Macaca fascicularis: one gene and its partner. The protein of the gene in region 1 binds, or shares a complex with, the protein of each later gene. Links are inferred from orthologs where the notes say so. Each region holds a gene or a part of one and is shown on either strand. Other genes may lie near its edges. The genes, in order: RPTOR and EIF4EBP1.

What was found.
Region 2: the proteins of RPTOR (region 1) and EIF4EBP1 are in contact, whole or in part, in a cryo-EM structure (PDB 6BCX), measured with the Homo sapiens proteins. The link is inferred for Macaca fascicularis from reciprocal best matches to the Homo sapiens genes RPTOR and EIF4EBP1. Residues at the interface, in NP_065812.1 of Homo sapiens: Arg54, Arg305, Thr317, Asp321, Phe337, Arg338, Leu341, Ala344, Arg348, Leu437, Gln438, Leu440, Leu441, Ser442, Gln443, Arg446, Tyr475, Lys478, Leu479, Gln481; in NP_004086.1 of Homo sapiens: Glu111, Ser112, Gln113, Phe114, Glu115, Met116, Asp117, Ile118.

The regions. Positions count from the first base shown.
Region 1 is NC_088390.1:87,311,389-87,320,621, reverse strand, and holds part of RPTOR (regulatory-associated protein of mTOR), read right to left. Parts: intron 8,826-9,233; coding exon 8,708-8,825; intron 7,810-8,707; coding exon 7,669-7,809; intron 6,723-7,668; coding exon 6,564-6,722; intron 5,990-6,563; coding exon of another isoform or gene 5,730-5,989; exon of another isoform or gene 4,594-5,729; intron 1-4,593. UniProt on the Homo sapiens protein: Component of the mechanistic target of rapamycin complex 1 (mTORC1), an evolutionarily conserved central nutrient sensor that stimulates anabolic reactions and macromolecule biosynthesis to promote cellular biomass generation and growth.
Region 2 is NC_088382.1:41,418,335-41,427,667, reverse strand, and holds the start of EIF4EBP1 (eukaryotic translation initiation factor 4E-binding protein 1), read right to left. Parts: upstream 5,564-9,333; 5' UTR 5,502-5,563; coding exon 5,357-5,501; intron 1-5,356. UniProt on the Homo sapiens protein: Repressor of translation initiation that regulates EIF4E activity by preventing its assembly into the eIF4F complex: hypophosphorylated form competes with EIF4G1/EIF4G3 and strongly binds to EIF4E, leading to repress translation.

The DNA of each region.
Region 1 (9,233 bases):
CCCACCAGTGCTCTAGGGATGAGGCTTTCTGCGGGAAGAGCACTCTCAGGCCACCAGAGCAGAATTAACTCTCGCCTCGTCTGTCAGCACGGGTGTGCCTGGACTCTGGCCGTGACGCAGGGTTTCGGGAGGGAAGGCGGGTGGAGCACATGGCGGCGTGGTCCCCCATGGGACTGCACTCTAGCTGGCAGCCGGGGCTGGATGGACGAGCGTGAGGGTGATGTGGTGTGGGGCCACATGCATGCGTGTCTGGGGGTGAGGAGGGCACCTCAGGCTGGGTCCCAGGACGTGTGGACACAGGCCACAGACCCTCTCCAGCCGTCCTTCTGTCCTGAGCAGCTCCACAGCCCCTCGTGGGCGTCAGGAACACAGATGAGTGCAGAGGGCAAACGCATGGGCTGGGGGCCGGGACAGGTGAGGCCTGTGTCCACATGTCCATGCATTAGCAAGGAACAACTTTATAGGACTGTGGTGGTAACAATGGTGACATCATGCTTTGATGTGCTGGGTCAGGCACCTACATGGGGATCCTGGCGGTGGGCCAGGGAACCTCCCAGCAAGACCACCTGGCTCTGAGCTGCACAGACGGCAGAGGGGCTGGGCCAGGGGCTGCAGGCAGGTGCAGTGGAACAGCTGCTGCTGAGATGGCGGGCGAGGGGGCTGAAGGAAGGCCTTGAATATCAGGCAACGGTTTGGCCTCTACAGAAAATGCGGTTTTAATGAAGGCTTCACCTGGAGGGTAGTGAGGAGCTGGCATGAGAGAGGGCCTGCCCAGTTGTGGTCTGTACAGAGCAAGACCCAGGGCAATGAGGCCTGATGGGATGGGGGCACTGGAAACAGGAGGGATTGATTTAGGGGATTCTTGTGGATGTCAGGTCAGAGGAAGGGCTGAGTGAGAAACAAGCAGGATGGAGACATCAAACAAGATTCTAGAACCTGAGACAGTGCTGAGACCTGGGTTCCCATTTAGTTTCACAAACATTTATCCTGCCCCACCAGGGGCCAGGCACTGCTGGGGGCGGGAACCTGGGCTCCATCAGTGATTGAAGGAAGCCAAGTACCAGCCAAGGGGCTTCACTGCCACAGAGGAGACGGGAAACGCGTGACCGAGGGTGCAACAATGCAAGTGCTCTGGGGAAGGCAGAGCGGGGAGGGCGCTAGCGATGGGGCTTCTGGGGGGCCGGGAAAGATGGGGAGACATGGACGCTCCAGGTTGCCATGGTTCTGAAAGCCTCTGCAATCTTCAATGAAAGGGCCTCAAGAGATTGCAGTTCTTTGGCTGAAATGAAAGAAATTGGCTGGAAACAGGGAAGTGCTGCGCGTAATGGGGTTCTGTGCAGGTGATGAATTCTGAACGCTTAGGTAAGCACGGTGGTTTCCAGGTAGCGTAAGCGACACCTTCCTGAATATGAATGAGGCTGGCTTCGCGGGGGTGACTTTGTTTCTCTCCTTCCTAAACTCCAGCTCATTGTGAAACTCTTCCCTGTCAAATTTCCTAAGATTTGAATGACACACGAATAAAACTCAGTCTTCTCCAGTAAAAAAAAAAAAGTCAGGAATCAGACTGTGTAAGAAGGATGGTGGAATGGGGACTCCAGCTCCTTCGAGAAGACAGAAGAGAAAGAAGGGGCAGAGGAGAAGACTCATGGAGGCCAAGCCCCTGTCCTGGCCCCAAGCTGCCGTGTGCTTTCCGTCTGGGTGACCCTCAGATGACACTGATTCTTCGCCCTGTACTCCACCGAGACTAGTACCGAGGATAACAGCGGCATTCACTCATCACAGACAAGAGCTAAGTTTCACACAGGAGCTGGGCGGGGTCCCCGCGGTCCCTCTCGCCTGTGGACAGCACCCAGGGCCTCAGGCATGGCCCGTGCACAGTAAACACCAGCCTCAGCAAGTTAAGCCACCTGGAAACTCCACAGTTGTGAACTTTCTGCAGCCTTCACCAGCAGAAGGGGAGATGCCCACGTGGTATCCAAAATGCCCAGGGGGAAAGGGAGGTGCAGTGGGCATGGGGACCTGCAGACAGAAGCTCTCAGTGGTGGCATGGTGACCCAGCGCTATACCGCCTGGCTTGAGCTCCCTGGACCAATAAAAGGTGCAGTTCTGCATGCTTGCAGGCCAGGTGCAACTTTTTATTTTGATTCTTACTTGATGGCCAGATACGTGTGAGCGGAGGGATGAGAGTGAACTGAGAACGCCATAGAGCACGGGCTGGGCAGGGCGGTGGGGCAACCAGGCCCTTGGCAGACGGTCACCAGGTGAGCACCGAGGGGTGATGCCGCTGTAGCTTCCTGTGAAAGAGGAAGGCCAGCCGGGTGTGGTGGCTCATGCCTGTAATCCCAGCACTTTGGGAGGCCGAGGCAGGCGGATCACCTGAGGTTGGAAGTTCGAGACCAGCCTGACCAACATGGAGAAACCTTGTCTCTACTAAAAATACAAAATTAGCCAGGTATGTTGGCATGTGCCTGTAATCCCAGCTACTTGGGAGGCTGAGGCAGGAGAATCGCTTGAACCTGGGAGGCGGAGGTTGCAGTGAACAGAGATCATGCCATTAAACTCTAGCCGGGGCGACAAGGGCAAAACTCCGTCTCAAAAAAAAAAAAAAGAAGAAGAAGAAGGCCACAGCGAGCACACAGCCCCAGGAGAGCCACAGTGGAAGCAGGGAGACCCGGGAGGGAGCTGCGACCACCAGGCCAAAGAGCAGCTGGCTCAGGTGGCTGCAAGGCGGGGAGGAGACTGGCCACAGATGCCCTGCCAAGAGAAGGATGCGTGGGGGTACAAAGAGGAGTCTCTGACTCCTGGCCAGGAGTCAACCTGAGTAAACGCCGGTCCCCTCGGCCACAGAGGGAGGACACGTGCTCCTGCAGGGAGGGGAAGGAGATGCCCAGAGCCGATGGTACCGGCTTCGACACAGGTGGCGCTGGGTTTGCCTGTTCTGCACTTTTGTGCCCCAATGTGCACAGTGGGGGCACGGTCAAAATATGTGGCCAATATGTGGAAGAGTCTCAAGCCCTCTGTCTGACTCACAGGAGTGTCCTCAGAGGAGTGTCCCTGCAGGCTGGGGTGCGGGCAGGGTGTGCTCCGCTCTCAGGCTCTCTGAGCTGAACTCGGCCTTGTTCTTCTATGGCCTGTGTATGGTTCTTACACTTTTTTTTTTTTTTTTTGAGACGGAGTCTCGCTCTGTCGCCCAGGCTGGAGTGCAGTGGCGCAATCTCGGCTCACTGCAAGCTCCGCCTCCCGGGTTCACGCCGTTCCCCGGCCTCAGCCTCCCGAGTAGCTGGGACTACAGGCGCCCGCCACTGCGCCCGGCTAATTTTTTCTATTTTTAGTAGAGACGGGGTTTCACCATGGTCTCGATCTGCTGACCTTGTGATCCGCCCGCCTCGGCCTTCCAAAGTGCTGGGATTACAGGCGTGAGCCACCGCGCCCGGCCAGTTCTTACACTTTTTAGGTGGTTGAAAAAAAATCAAAGGAACAATATTTTGTGATGTGAAGTTATGCAAAATTCGAACTTCAGTCCACATGGTTACGTAGCAACATGGCCAAGTTCATTCACTCACACGCGGTCTCTGGCTGCTTTTGCACCACAATGGCAGTGCTGGGGAAGTGCCAAGGGGCAGTCCCACCTGCAAAGCTCTTTCATAGGAAGACTGCAGACTCCTGCTCTAACCTACACGTGACGGCAGGGAGCTACCACCTCGACCTCGGTGAGCATGAACTAACCTGCTGGAGGCGCTAGAGAGGTACTCACAGGAGCTGTGGCCGGGGCCAGGGGAAAGGTGTAATCAAAACAGAATACTATGAATTTACACTTTCTAGTACTTAAAAAAATATTTAAAATACCTTTTTACATTGCAGATTTATAAGTAGAATTTCTGCAGACAGGTTTTAAAAGACACTTGTAGGCTAGCCTGGAAACCTAACCACTATATATAACAATTCTATTTAAAAAGTGTATTCCAGTTCAAAACAAACATCTTACAAGTGATTTTAGAATATATTTCATTGGTGACTTGGCAATACCTCGATTTATACTCTAATATACAGTGTCAACTCTGCGCTTTCTGGGTGCTTGGCATATTTTAGCAGACAACCAAAGCTGCAACGTTATTTCTCAATGAAAATTAACAAGTTGGTCTGTCTGGGCTAAGCTGGCGTGTCTGGGTTGTTGTGTAGTGAACCTTTCAGTTCTCCATACCCTGGAGGGCATGGTGCAAGCTCTGGACTCATTCTATCCAGAGGTGCTCAAGGCAGCAGCTGGCCAAAGCCGGGAGCACACCCACAGGCTTGCCCAGTGGGAACTGCCTTGGCGGATGCCCTGTGTCTGTTTCAGGTCTTTAGGCTCCCATGTGCTGCTGTCATTGTGGCCGGACTGCCGTCCCCGGGAACCACAAGGGAAGTAGAAAGAGAGCTTGAAGCTGAACGCAAGTGAAAAGCCCATCATCAAAGCTCGGCAGGGGGAGCCAGACGGCCGGGGGAGCGGGCGGGATGGGGAGACGGCGGGGGGAGTGGGCCAGGGGAAGACGGCAGTGGCGGGGGTCCCGCAGACCTGAACACACGCATTAGGAAGGAAGGAAAACTCAAAGTTAATGAGCTATTTTTATTTTGCACTTGAGAACTGAAACAGGACAAGAGGGTGATCCTAGAGAAAACAGAAGAAAGGAAACAAAATAAAGTACTGGAATAGAAAAATAAAGATAAAATAATGCAGTAAATTCACAAAGCCTAAGTTAGAACTTGAAGACACTAAAGAAATGAACAAATATCTTAGAGGATTCATCAATAAAAAGAGGAAAAGGCAAATAAACAACAATAGGAATAAAAAGGGACACATCTAAAGAGACAGCAGATTGGGAATGACAGAGCAGCTGGAACAATAAAGAGATTAGAGACTCATGAGAATACTGCAGACAGCCTCAAGGGAAAGAATGAGAATACTTAGCTGGATTGAATAAAATCCTAGAAAAATAAAAGTTTTTGAAGCTAGCTTAAGAAGAAATAGAGAGTGTAAATAATCCTATCAGCATTGAAGAAATGGAATACAGAATTCAAACCCACCCTCACAACGTCACACTAGCCCAGACAGCTCGGGGCAAATTCAGGGGAGGCTTCTCGGAAGGTGCTGCCGGATGGGGGCTCTGAATGAGAGGGGAGCGGTACCATATGCCCGAGAAGAGCTTCCCCACCGAAGCCCAGGCTGGGGGCCGCGAGTGCCGGGGCCCAGCAGAGCTGGGTGCAGCGAGTGAGGGGTGTGTCGGACGTGGGGCTCCATGGTGGCAGGGGCTGAATTCTGAGTTTGCTAATTAAAAAAAGGAACAAAAAAGAAGAAGAAACTAGAACCAGCCTCACAGTGCCCCGACAGGAGAATGGATAATGGAGTCACGGCAGAGAGCAGAGGTGAAGGAACAAAACCTAGATGACTATCAAAGATACAGATTGAAGTCAGAGCCAAACGGGTTTTGCAGGCCACGCGTTGTGTGACGGCGCCAACAGGAGGTAAAAGCCTCTAAGTGGGTACCACGTATGTGCCAGGGCTCATGGCCAGAAAGGGAAAGGATAACGTCACCAGAGGGAATGGGACCGGGGTGGGCTCTGGGGCTCGACCTCTGTAATTCCTTAAGCTGGGAATACAACACGCAGACACACACACACACACACACACATATACACACGCAAGTCTCTGTAAATTTTTACATGGCTAAAATGTTCCTTAATATGAAAAAAACTCAAGTGAAGCCGGTAAGCCATTCTGGATAGTCAGAACAAGAGGAGAGGAGGCTCGTTTGGTTAAGCCCTAAATCTGTTACCAGCAGTGTGAAGATGAACACAGCTACACAATAAGAAAACACAGTGAATTCCTGCTTCTCCTGCTTTACATCAGCAATCCTGGTGGTAGAACCCAGGCATACACCATTCATGGCAGAACAAGAGAAGAATCCGACCCTTCCATCAGATTTCCATTTCCAGGCAGTGCTGCGTCCAGCTGCTGGAATGGAGGGAAAGTTCTGTAGAGATTCCGCAGATGGGCAGGGCGGGGATGACAGCCCCCAGTCCCGACCGCAGGGCCCTCTGCCGCTCACTGCGGACACTCTGTGTGGGGGCCGATCTGGGCACTAGAGGATGTGAGCAGCTTCCTGGCCTCACCCACTAGGGCAAAGAGCACCCCTACTGTGCCCTAGTTGCACCTGCGGGCAAACCCAGCCCCGGTTGAGAAGCACTGCTCTGCATCACCAGGGTGTCAAGCACCCATGAAGAACGCTCATCCATCTACAGAAGAAAGATGGAAGGTTCTGGCAGCCTTCCCACCCGGCCAAGCTAGCCAGCTCCCATGGCTCCGGAGCGGCCTGTAAAATACCATCCCATCACAACAGTGATTTCAACTTTCCCGCTTCCCCCAGCAAAATATCCTCACGTCCTCGCAGTCCAGCTGACTTTTATTCTTTCTTTTGAACAGATAGCTTCGACACCCACTGCCCTATGCAGACACAGGTTGGTGCTGCTCTGTGTGGGGAGGAGACCCTCGGGGCCTCTCGGAAGCAGAAAGGGGCACTCGGACTCACCGATGAGGGAGTTGAGGGAGGAGTAGGAGCTGGCGCGGCGCATCTTGTCGATGGTCTCGAAGGACAGGATGTGCTCCTCATTCTCGGGGCTGCCCAGGGTACTGCTGGCACTGCTGCTGGTGCTGAGGTTTCCAGGGGAGAACGCCACCGCGCCGCCGGCTGCCCGAGACACAGTGGGGTCAGTGGGGTGCTCCCGGGACCCTCCTTTTGGTCTTAAAGTTAATGGCATGACTGAGATATGTATTTTCTTCTAAATAAAGCTCAGCACACCCAGGCACAAACACACCCTGGTACATACACACCCTAGCACACACACCCTGGTATACACACACCCTGGTACACACACCCTGGCGCACATTATACCCTGGTACACACACCCTGCCGTGCACACACCCTGGTAAACACACCCTGGTACACACACCCTGGCATACACACACCCTGGTACACACACCGTGGTACACACACACCCTGGCATACACACACCCTGGCACACACACACCCTGGCGCACACACACCCTGGTACACACACCCTGGCACATACCCTGGTACACACACCCTGGCACACACACACCCTGGTACACACACCCTGGCGCACACACACCCCGGTGCGCACACCCTGGCTCACACACACCCTGGTACACACACACTGGTACACACACACCCTGGTACACACACACTGGCACACACACACCCTGGTACACACACACACCCTGGTACACACACACTGGCACACACACACCCTGGTGCACACATAGGCACAGGAACTCACTGATCTCCCTGGGAACCAAGCTCCACACCCACAGACTGGGGCAGGGCACGGCCCTCCAAGGAGCCGCCGCTTCGCCTGCGACTGCAATTGAGCTCTGCACTGGTAACGTGCCCGCTGGCTGTTCTGGGGACTGGCCTACGCCTCCTTGCCATGCTCACGTCTGGAAGGGTGACTCCAGACGAGGACAGCTGGCTCATCACCATGTTGCCAGATGCAACTTCAGGGCATGCACTTAGAGAAGGGGCAGGGGCAGAGTGATTCTTGCTCAGATAAAAAGTTTTGGAAAATACAACCCCAATCTCTCCCAATCCAAGAACCCAGTTTCCAGGATCTTACATTCCTCTGTCAAGCTCAGGTTCTGCAAAGATTTGTTGAGGCTCCTGGCTGTGGCGACAGCACGGATGTTTCCATAGGAGCTCACGGAACGAAGTCTGGGGGTGCACGGGCTGTCTCGCACTGGGGTCAGACTCCCTCCCTCTGGGAAAGAAGGAGAAAGACAAGTTACGATGGGCTTCCAGGTGCAGGCCGGCGTGTCTTCTGACACTCAGCAGCTGGGACACTCGGTGACGGCAGCTGCTACCTATACTGGAACGAATGTGAACGCAGGAGCTGCGCAGCTCAGGGAGACTCAGACGTGAGTGGAGGCTCTGCGGGATGGCACTGGACAAACGACAACCGCTTGTCGCTCTGTGGATATTAAATTACAAAAGACAACAGGGGAGAGGCTGGTGGCTGCGGCCTGTCCAAGTGCACACAAGGTGCGTGGTGACGTGGGCCATGAGCCGTTCCCCGGGAAGCCGCAGCAGAGCAATGGCCGGCCGCACTCAGTCTGGCTCACCCTTCTCCCTTCCTGGGCTTCCTATAAGCAGTGAGGCTTCACTGTTGATGACAAGCCTCTGCATGGCAGAGACGGCTGTGTGGTAGGGGAGGGGCTGCCAGCAGCGATGAGATAGGAACTGTACTCTCCAGTCAAAACGACACGTGTGAGAAAGGACTCGACATGACTCACCGAGCCACGGAGCCAACAGCAGTGTGATGAAATGACTCACGGCAGGAAGGCGGCCCCTGCGCTTTTCTGCAAAGCTCCTATTGCAGAAGTTTGTCATACTTCAAGGTTTCTGTGAGTTTAATTTCCAAAAAGGGTAAAAAGAAAGGAAAAATGTAAGAGGGTCAGTGTGGCCCTCTTTCCTGTCCTTTCGAATCTGACGGGTGCCTAAAAAGATGAGAAACACAGGGACCCCTTGCAGAGGGATCTGGGAAACCCGAGCTTAGACTCTGCGAGAGTCAGCAAGTGGCCAGCAGTCCTGAGACTGGGCCAGGCCTGCGCTAGAACCGCCAGGCCAGGTGCTCAGCGGGTTCACAGGAGACGCCGTACCTGTGGTCGCTGGAGAAGGCAAGGGGTAGTTCTTCTCCTCTTCTATGAACTGCAGGGCCACAGTGCAGAAATTGCTTTCGTACTGAACCACGAGATGACTCAGAGCCACCACCAGCTCCTGCCGAGAGGGAGACGGGACAATAACACTCACTGGGGCCGGAAGATGACTGAGGGCAGCAGTGAGATGTGAGTCACCCACAGAAAAGAAAGGTTAAGACAAAAGCGTGCTGTCGGCGTCAGAAAAAGGGACCATCCCTTTTCGAACCCAGAAGCCTTGAACAGCAGTGCCGTGGAGATGGCAGGCCACCGGCTCACGGGGGAAGCCCAGAACGCCTGCCAGGATCCTCACCACCGCTAGCTGCGCACGACGCATGGGGGTCTCATAAGGACACGGTGAGTCATAGACTCCAGGCGGGGAAAGGTAGGAGGCCTCACAGCCTCTCGCTTACGGTCACCACTGGGACCCCGGCTGAAAACGCCGCTTTAGATCACACCCGACGGCTGGCGGCCTTTCTGAATCTGAGCA
Region 2 (9,333 bases), on another chromosome or scaffold:
ATAAATAAATAAATAATTAGCTGGGCATGGTGGCATGTGCCTGTCATCCCAGCTACCAGGGAGACTGAGGCAGGAGAATCAGCCTGAACCTGGCAGGCACAGGTTGCAGTGAGCTGAGATCACGCCACTGCACTCTAGCCTGGATGACAGAATGAGACTGCCTCAAAAATAAAATTAAAATTAAAAATAATAATAATAATAAGGCTGAGTGTGGTGGCTCATGCCTATAATTCTAGCACTTTGGGAGGCCGAGGCGGGTGGATCACCTGAGGTCAGGAGTTTGAGACCAGCCTGACTAACAAGATGAAACCCTGTCTCTAATAAAAATACAAAAATTGGCCGGGCGCGGTGGCTCAAGCCTGTAATCCCAGCACTTTGGGAGGCCGAGACGGGCGGATCACGAGGTCAGGAGATCGAGACCATCCTGGCTAACACAATGAAACCCCGTCTCTACTAAAAATACAAAAAAATTAGCCGGGCGTGGTGGCGGCGCCTGTAGTCCCAGCTACTCGGGAGGCTGAGGCAGGAGAATGACGGGAACCTGGGAGGCGGAGCTTGCAGTGAGCCGAGATCGCGCCACTGCACTCCAGCCTGGGCGACAGAGTGAGACTCCGCCTCAAAAAAAAAAAAAAAATACAAAAATTAGCCATGTGTGGTGGCAAATGCCTGTAATCCCAGCTACTTGGGAGGCTGAGGCAGGAGAATCGCTTGAACCCAGGAGGCGCAGGTTGCAGTGAGCCAAGATCGCACCACTGCAACCTACGCTCCAGCCTGGGTAATAAGAGCGAACCTCTATTTCAAAATAATAATAATAATAACAACAACAACAATAAAAAGGAGTCTGGGGATTGGAAGGAGTCCGGGGTGCTCTACATCAGGAACCCCCCCCCACCAAATCTTTAATAAGGGACACAGTGTGGAATGCTTCCAACACTTTAAAAATTTTATTTATTTAATTTATACCTACAGTCTCATTATGTTGCTCAGGCTGGTCTTGAACTCCTGGCCTTGAGTAATTTTCCTGCTTCAGCCTTCCTAGTAGCTGGGATTACAGGTGCGAGCCACTGCACCTGGCTCCTTCAAACACTTTAAAAGGAAGCTCAGGTAAATGTGAGAAGAGGGTCCATTGTTTCTCCCTCACTGCATTAATGTCCAAGCTCTTTTAACCCATCCTTAATAATAACTTCTTCCCTCTATGTGACTAAGGCCTCAGGACATGGGCTGTGCTCTGGCTTCGATGCCTAGCCTACGTCCCCCCTCTTCCCAGCACCGCCTCTTTCATGTCCAAAGACTTGGGAGCTGCTCCAAGGTAAGCTTCCCAGGCACAGACCTTGTTTGCTTAACCAAACAGGGTGCCATTAACACCTGCAGCTCTACCTGCTCACCTCGGATTCACCTTATCCAGGTACGAGTCTTTGGCATAACTGCCACCCAAGCCTGTATGTAGGCTTCAGAGTCAAACATGCAACACGGAGCTGGGAATGTGGAGATCGATAAGGGAAAGTTTCTTTCTGATCCACTCAAAGGTTCTGCTGGCTAATGGGTTGTTTATGGTGTTGCTGGATATTTCTAAGACTCCAAAGACTCAAATATTCATACATGACACTCCCTTCAGCAAAATTCTCTTAAGTACTCCGGACAGCTAACCTCAGCAGAGCCTCAGTGTACAAATGGTTAATGACCATGGAAAGCAAACTGGAGGCCGGGTGAGGTGACTCATGCCTATAATCCCAGCAGTTTGGGAGGCTGAGGTGGGAGGATTGCTTGAACCCAGGAGTCTGAGGCCAGCCTGGGCAATACAGAGAGACCCTGCCTCTACAAAAAAATCAAAAACTTAGCAGGGTATGGGGGCACGTGCCTATAGTCCCAGCTACTTGCAAGGCTGAGGCAGGAGGATCACTTGAGCCCAGGAGTTTGAGACTGCAGTGAGCTATGTTCATGTTACTGTACTCCAGCCTGGGTGACACAGTGAGACCCTGTCTCAGGAAAAAAAAAAAAAAAAAAAAAGGAAAGCAAACTGCAGTCACAGGAACGGAGATAGCGCAACCCAACTCTGCTTCTTTCCCTCCAGGGACGATCACTTGATGGCCATTCCCAGCAGGAGTGACTGGTGGGCACTTACTCCAGTGGTTTTTCCTGAGAAGCTGACAGTCCCTATAAGTAAGCAGGTGCAGACAGCCATACAGACACTCTATCAAAAGCCTGACTCTCCACACCATGATTTAGAGACAGATGCTGAGCCCAACCTCAAGGTTTACCTGGATGGAGTCATCATTTTTTTTTTTTTTTCCGCCAGACTCCAGAGATCTGAAAGGTGAGGGAAGTTACGTTCCACTAATTCCTGAGTACTCAGAGTGTGGTATATGCACCAATCACTGAGAGCTAGTTAGAAATGATGAATCTAGGCTGGGCATGGTGACTCATGCCTGTAATCCCAGCACTCTGGAAGGCCGAGGCAGGCAGATCACTTGAGGTCAGGAGTTTGAGACCAGCCTGGCCAACACGGTGAAATCCCCGTCTCTGCCAAAAAATACAAAAATTAGCTGGGCATGAGTGGCGTGTGCCTGTTGTCCCAGCTATTGGGGAGGCTGAGGTGGGAGGATCGCTTGACCCCGGGAGGTGGAGGTTGCTGTGAGCTGAGATCATGCCATTGCACTCCAGCCCAGGTGACAGAGTGAGACCCTTCTCAAAAAAAAAAAAAAAAAAAGAAAGAAAGAAAAAAGAAAGAAATGCTGAATCTAGTCCCCACCCCCACCTACAGAATCAGAATATGCACTTAAATGAAGCCCCCAGTTATCCTCAAGCACCTGGAAGGTTGAGACGCAGTATTCTGCTCTGGAGCAAAAGGGTCCTGCGATGTGACCATTTCAGCTTCTCTGCCCTAGCAGAGGTGGGCTGAGGTGGGCTTTGGAGGAAGAGTTCACACCTTGGCTAATCGAGGCCGACCAGGCTTGCTTGACTTTAGTGGAAGTAAGCCGGGTTTCCCTGGCTTAGGGACTGTGAGCTGTACCTGGATGACCCAAAGAGTGAGCTGGCTTTAGGCTCCTGGCACTGCTAGCTTCTTCCAGTGATCTCAGAAACATGCTATGCCCTGATGCAGAAGCCCCTTCCCCACTCCCCCTACTGTTAAAGACCTTCGGCCGGGCGCGGTGGCTCAAGCCTGTAATCCCAGCACTTTGGGAGGCCGAGACGGGCGGATCACGAGGTCAGGAGATCGAGACCATCCTGGGTAACACAGTGAAACCCCGTCTCTACTAAAAATACAAAAACTTAGCCGGGCGAGGTGGCAGGCGCCTGTAGTCCCAGCTACTCGGGAGGCTGAGGCAGGAGAATGGCGTGAACCCGGGAGGCGGAGCTTGCAGTGAGCTGAGATCCGGCCACTGCACTCCAGCCTGGGTGACAGAGCGAGACTCCGTCTCAAAAAAAAAAAAAAAAAAAAAAAAAAAAAAAAAAAAAAAAAAGACCTTCAAAAGGAGGGGGATTTGCTGTGGTCTGTCAGCCCCCTGCCTACTCCCCACTTCCCAACCCAAAGTGAAAAGTGGATTCAAAGTTCATATATTTTATGTTTATTATTTATTTTAGAGACAGGGTCTCGCTCTGTCACCCAGGCTGGAATGCAGTGGTCAATCATAGCTCACTACAGCCTCCAACTCCTGGGCTCAAGCGACCCTCTGGCCGCAGCCTCTGTAATAGCTAGGACATCTTTTTTTTTTTTTTTTGTAGAGATGGAGTCTCACTATGTTGCCCAGGCTGGTCTTGAACTCCTGGCCTCAAGCAATTCTCCTGCCTCGACTCCCCAAAATGCTGAGATTACAGGTGTGAACCTTGGTACCCGTGCCAGAAGTGCCTATAAACAGTATCTGTGGCTTCCAATTTGACCCAACAATCCAGCAATAAAAGGCGCAAAAAAGGGCTACCTGTGCCTTCAGGCCAGCCTCAGGGCCCACCCTGAACAAATCCAGCAGACACTTACACCCTCAGTTGAAAGAAGTCCAAAATTGTCAGGAATTGTCCTGGTAGACCATTGTGACAGGGACAAAGGAGAACAGCATGAACTACAAAAGACCCAGCAAGGGAAAGAGGATGAGTCGGGAGTGGCAATAAGAGCCCCTGCGAGCTTTTCCTTGGCTCATTTCTAATAGAAAACGAAGCATTCCTCCCTTCTCTGCCTGGTTGCTATTTCTTGTCCAATCTGGGAAAACGGTGTGACAATGGGCAATAGACACGTGTTCAAGCTCTGGGGCCTCAATGCCCGGCTCTGTAGAATAAGGCGGCAGGGCTGGACAAGATCCCTAACCGTTCTAACAGTGTATGTTTTGGATCAAATAGCTGAGGACCTCGGATCCGGCCGTGCATGCTGCTGGTAGGACAGCTGCCTGAGAAAATAAGCATGTGGCCCCTGCCCGCCACCGAGTGAAGCGCCAGGATCTGTCGCGTTTTCGAGTAGTTTGGAAAGCAGCGTGGAGGAGATTGAAGGGAGAGAAGTCAAAGGGGTGGGGGCAGTACGAGGATGGGAGGGGAGTGGAGAGCCACGAGGATTTGTTTCATCATGCAAACAGGCGCGTAGGTTTCATCAGCGTCTGTGCGCTGGGGTTGCGGGGCTGGGAGGGAATGCCAGGCTCCTGAGGGCAGCCTGAGGCTGCCCCCCCACCCCCGCACCCGTGCCAGCTCAGCTTCCTCTTCCTCATCCTCTCCCAGGGAGGTCACACGGTGCCTCCTCCTCTCCCCGGACAGAAGAACGTGTTTTTCTGCACAGCCCTGCCCGTGGCGCCCGGCCCCCCCGCGGAGATCCCACTCGCGAAAATGGGGAACGTGCCACAGGTGCCCGGGAGGCTCTGCTGGAGCAGGAGAGCACCCCCACATCCAAACCTCCGTCAGAGCGCGCGTGTCCAACGCAAAACTAGGGGTGCTTCGGAAAGGAAAAAGGGCCCTGCAGGAATCATTTATCCCAACAGATAATACCCATCCCATAAAAACACCAGGCCAGGCCTCTCCTGGATCGTGGGCCACCCTGACTCCGCCCTATCCTGCCTCGGGAGCGCCCCCAACACCCACAAGGGGCAGCACAGCTCGGCATGTGGCAGTCCTGGAAGAGTGCGTGTTTGTTAGGTGTCAGCTGTCTGACACCTAACAGAAAGAGGAAACGAACGGGGCAGTTTGCAACCTGGGTCTGGACGACGCACTCAAGAGGGCAGACGGGCGGCCACTTCCATGACCCTTGCTATCTCCCCGATGCCCCTTCTCCGTTCTTTCCAGTCACAGCGCCCTTGAGCCTGGACACCCGGTCCAATCCGCGATTCCCGATCCTCCCGCCCGCCCAGGAGCCGGCCAGCTGCGTCCCCAAGCCCGCGCCTACCTCCCGGGGTGGTGCTGAAGAGTGTGCCGCCGGGGGTCGTGCTGTAGTCCCCGGGCGGGAGCTGCACGCCGTCGCCGAGCACCACCCGGCGAGTGGCGGGGATGGCCCGACTTGGGGTTTGGCTGCAGCTGCTGCCCCCGGACATGGTCTCCTGTGCGCTGCACCAGCGAACCTCTCGCTGCCCTCCCGCGCCTCCAGCCTCGCTCCGCCTAGCCGGGTCCCGCTCAGCCTCGCCCCGTCCCGCCCCGCCCCAGGACGCCCCTTCCGCCTCTCCCGCCCACGCCCCTGGGATTTGTAGTCCGCGCCGCAGCCCCACCCAGCTCCAGGACGTTGCTTCCACGTGGGATCCCCCGCAGCCCCCCGACCCACTCACGCCTGCTCACGGGCTCTTCCGCACGGGCGCCGGCGCCGCCCCGCAGCGACTGCCCCTCTGTCCTGTGTCCCTCCCCGCCACGTTGGCAGGGATGGGGGTGGGGGTGGTGGGCGGGATAGCTCGCCTAAATTAATCCTTGGCTGGGTTGGGGGCGGCGACTCAGGACCGCGCGGAGATCCGAGCTGACCCGGCCCACTGCAGGAAGGCCCGGTTTCTGCCTTAGTACATCAGGCCCGGTGTACCCTCCGGCACTCCCTGTTTCGTGCCTTAGTTCCTCAGATGAGAAAGTGGGGATTGAGTGGTCATGCTCACCCCCTCCCCCGCCTCAATTTCTTGACCTTGATGGGGGTGGGGATGGTGGGGCTAACAATTCTGTTCCCGGCCTTTAGACAGGGTGTGGGAGGAGGAGTGAACCAACCAGCGGCGTCCTGGGAGTTAAATTTAGAGCTAGGGCGCGGGGGTAGGGGGAGAGGGAAGGGCGTAGGAGAGGGGTAAGAGTTTGTCAAAGAGGTTTCCCGATAACTCCTGAATTGGGTCCAACGCCCACCCCACTGCCTGAGATTTAGTAGGTACTCCTTGGATGGTGGATGGAGGGATGTTCAAGGGGAGAGAGAAAAATGCAAGAAGGACCGAGGATGGAAAAGCTTGTTGGGTTTGAGAAGTTCTTAGCATTGTGGGCACATGTTGTGGGGAAGAGGGTGAAGAAAGTTTAAAAGGGAAATTGGGTGGTGCACCTGTAATCCCCACTACTCAGGAAGCTGAGCTGGAGGATGCTTGAGCTCAGGAGTTTGAGGCTCCAGTGAGTGTGATCACACCACTGCACTCCACCCTTAGTGACAGAGACCCTATCTCTAAAAAATATATAATAATTTTTTAAAAAGGAAATTGGGGTCAGGTCATTGAGTTTTTCAAATCATGCCAAAGTGCTTGGACTTTGTCTTAGAAGGGCAGGAGAGATCAGAGATTTTTTTTTTTTTTTTTTTTTTTTAAGGCTGGAGTGCAGTGGCGCGATCTTGGCTCACTGCAAGCTCTGCCTCCCGGGTTCACGCCATTCTCCTGCCTCAGCCTCCCGAGTAGCTGGGACTACAGGCGCCCGCCACTGCGCCCAGCTAATTTTTTGTATTTTTAGTAGAGATGGGATTTCACCGTGTTAGCCAGGATGGTGTTGGTGTCGATCTCCTAACCTCGTGATCCACCCGCCTCGGCCTCCCAAAGTGCTGGGATTACAGGCGTGAGTCACCGCGTCCAGCCCAGAGATCTTTTAAGCAGGGGGATGACATGATTTGAGTTGTTTTTTTTGAAAGATAACTAGTAGCCAGTGGAGTTTCAGGATGGGCCAAGGAGGGCAAGGCCTGAGATAGGGAGACCTGTTGAATTTGGTCTCACTTTTGAGGGAAACTTTAGGCCTACAGTGGCTTAAGACAGTAGCCGCCAGCTACAGGTGCACATTGAGCACTCCAAATGTGGCCAGTCCAAACTGTCACAAGTTTAACATACACACCATATTTCAAAGACTTAGCATGAAAAAAATAATGTAAAATGCCTGAATAATTTGTTTCTATATTGATTGTATGTTGAACTGATAATATTTTGAGTATATTGGGTTCAGAAAATTACATTAAAAAATTAATTTTGGGCCAGGTGCAGTGGCTTACGCCTGTAATCCCAACACTTTGGGAGGCCGAGGTGGGCAGATCACGAGGTCAAGAGATCGAGACCATCCTGGACAACATGGTGAAACCCTGTGTCTACTAAAAATACAAAAAAAATTAGCTGGGCATGGTGGTGCGTGCCTGTAGTTCCAGCTTACTCGGGAGGCTGAGGCAGGAGAATCGCTTGAACCTGGGAGGTGGAGGTTGCAGTGAGCCGAGATCACACCACTGCACTGCAGCCTGGTATCAGAGCAAGACTCCATCTCAAAAGAAAAAAAAAAATTAGGCCGGGCGCGGTGGCTCAAGCCTGTAATCCCAGCACTTTGGGAGGCCGAGACGGGCGGATCACGAGGTCAGGAGTTCGAGACCATGCTGGCTAACACGGTGAAACCCCGTCTCTACTAAAAAATACAAAAAACTAGCCGGGCGAGGTGGCGGGCGCCTGTAGTCCCGGCTACTCGGCAGGCTGAGGCAGGAGAATGGCGTAAAAACCCGGGAGGCAGAGCTTGCAGTGAGCTGAGATCCAGCCACTGCACTCCAGCCTGGGCGACACAGCGAGACTCCGTCTCAAAAAAAAAAAAAAAGAAAAAAAAAATTAATTTCGGCCAGGTGCGGTGGCTCACGCCTGTAATCCCAGCACTTTGGGAGGCCTAGGCGGGTGGATCATGAGGTCAGGAGTTCAAGACCAGCTTGCCAAGATGGTGAAACCCTGTCTCTACTAAAAATACAAACAACAACAACAAAAAGCCGGCCATAATGGCCGGCACCTGTAATCCCAGCTACTCAGGAGGCTGAGGCAGAGGTTGTAGTGAGCCGAGAACCACCACTGCACTCCTGCCTGGGCGACAGAGTAAGACGCTGTCTCAAAAAAAAAAAAAAAAAAAAGAAGGCCGGGCATGGTGGCTCACGCCTGTAATCCCAGCACTTTGGGAGGCCGAGGCGGGTGGATCACGAGGTCAGGAGATCGAGACCATCCTGGCTAACACGGTGAAACCCTGTCTCTACTAAAAATACAAAAAATTAGCCGGACGTGGTGGTGGGCGCCTGTAGTCCCAGCTACTCGGGAGGCTGAGGCAGGAGAATGGCGTGAACCCGGGAGGTGGAGCTTGCAGCGAGCCGAGATGGCGCCACTGCACTCCAGCCTGGGTGACAGAGCAAGACTCCGTCTCAAAAAAAAAAAAAAAGAAAAAGAAATTAATTTCGTCCAGGCTGTGGATCACACCTGTAATCCCAGTACATTTGGAGGCTGAAGTGATCAGAGTGCTTGGGCGCAGGAGTTTGAGACCAGCCTGGGCTACATGGTGAAACCTTGTCTCTACAAAAAAATTTAAAAATTAGCCCAGTGTTGTGGCTCACACCTGTGGTCCCAGCTGCTTTCAAGGATGAGGTAGGAAGATGACCTGAGCCCCAGAGGTGGAGGTTGCCATGAGCCAAGATTGCACCACTGCACTCCAGCCGGGGCTCAAAAACAAAATAAATAAAATAAGAAAAAATAAAAATAGATCAGGTCTTGGTGGTTGGGATTACAAGGCCAGAGGATTGCTTGAGGCCTGAAGTTCAGAGACCAGCCTGGGCAACATAGCAAGACCTTGTTTCAAAAAATGGCTTGTGAGCCATTACAGGTGGCTCACACCTGTAATCCCAACACTGAGAGGCCGAGGCGGTCAGATCACAAGGTCAGGAGACCGAGACCATCCTAGCTAACACGGTGAAACCCCGTCTCTACTAAAAATACAAAAAAAAAAAAAAAAAAATTACCCGGGCATGGTGGCAGACTCCTGTAGTCCCAGCTTCTCAGGAGGCTGAGGCAGGAGAATCACCTGAAACTGGGAGGCAGAAGTTGCAGTGGGCCGAGATCATGCCACTGCACTCCAGCCTGGGTGACAGAGCAAGATTTCGTCTCCCAAAGAAAAAAAAAAAAAGAGTTTCACTCTTGCCTGAGCTGGAGTGCA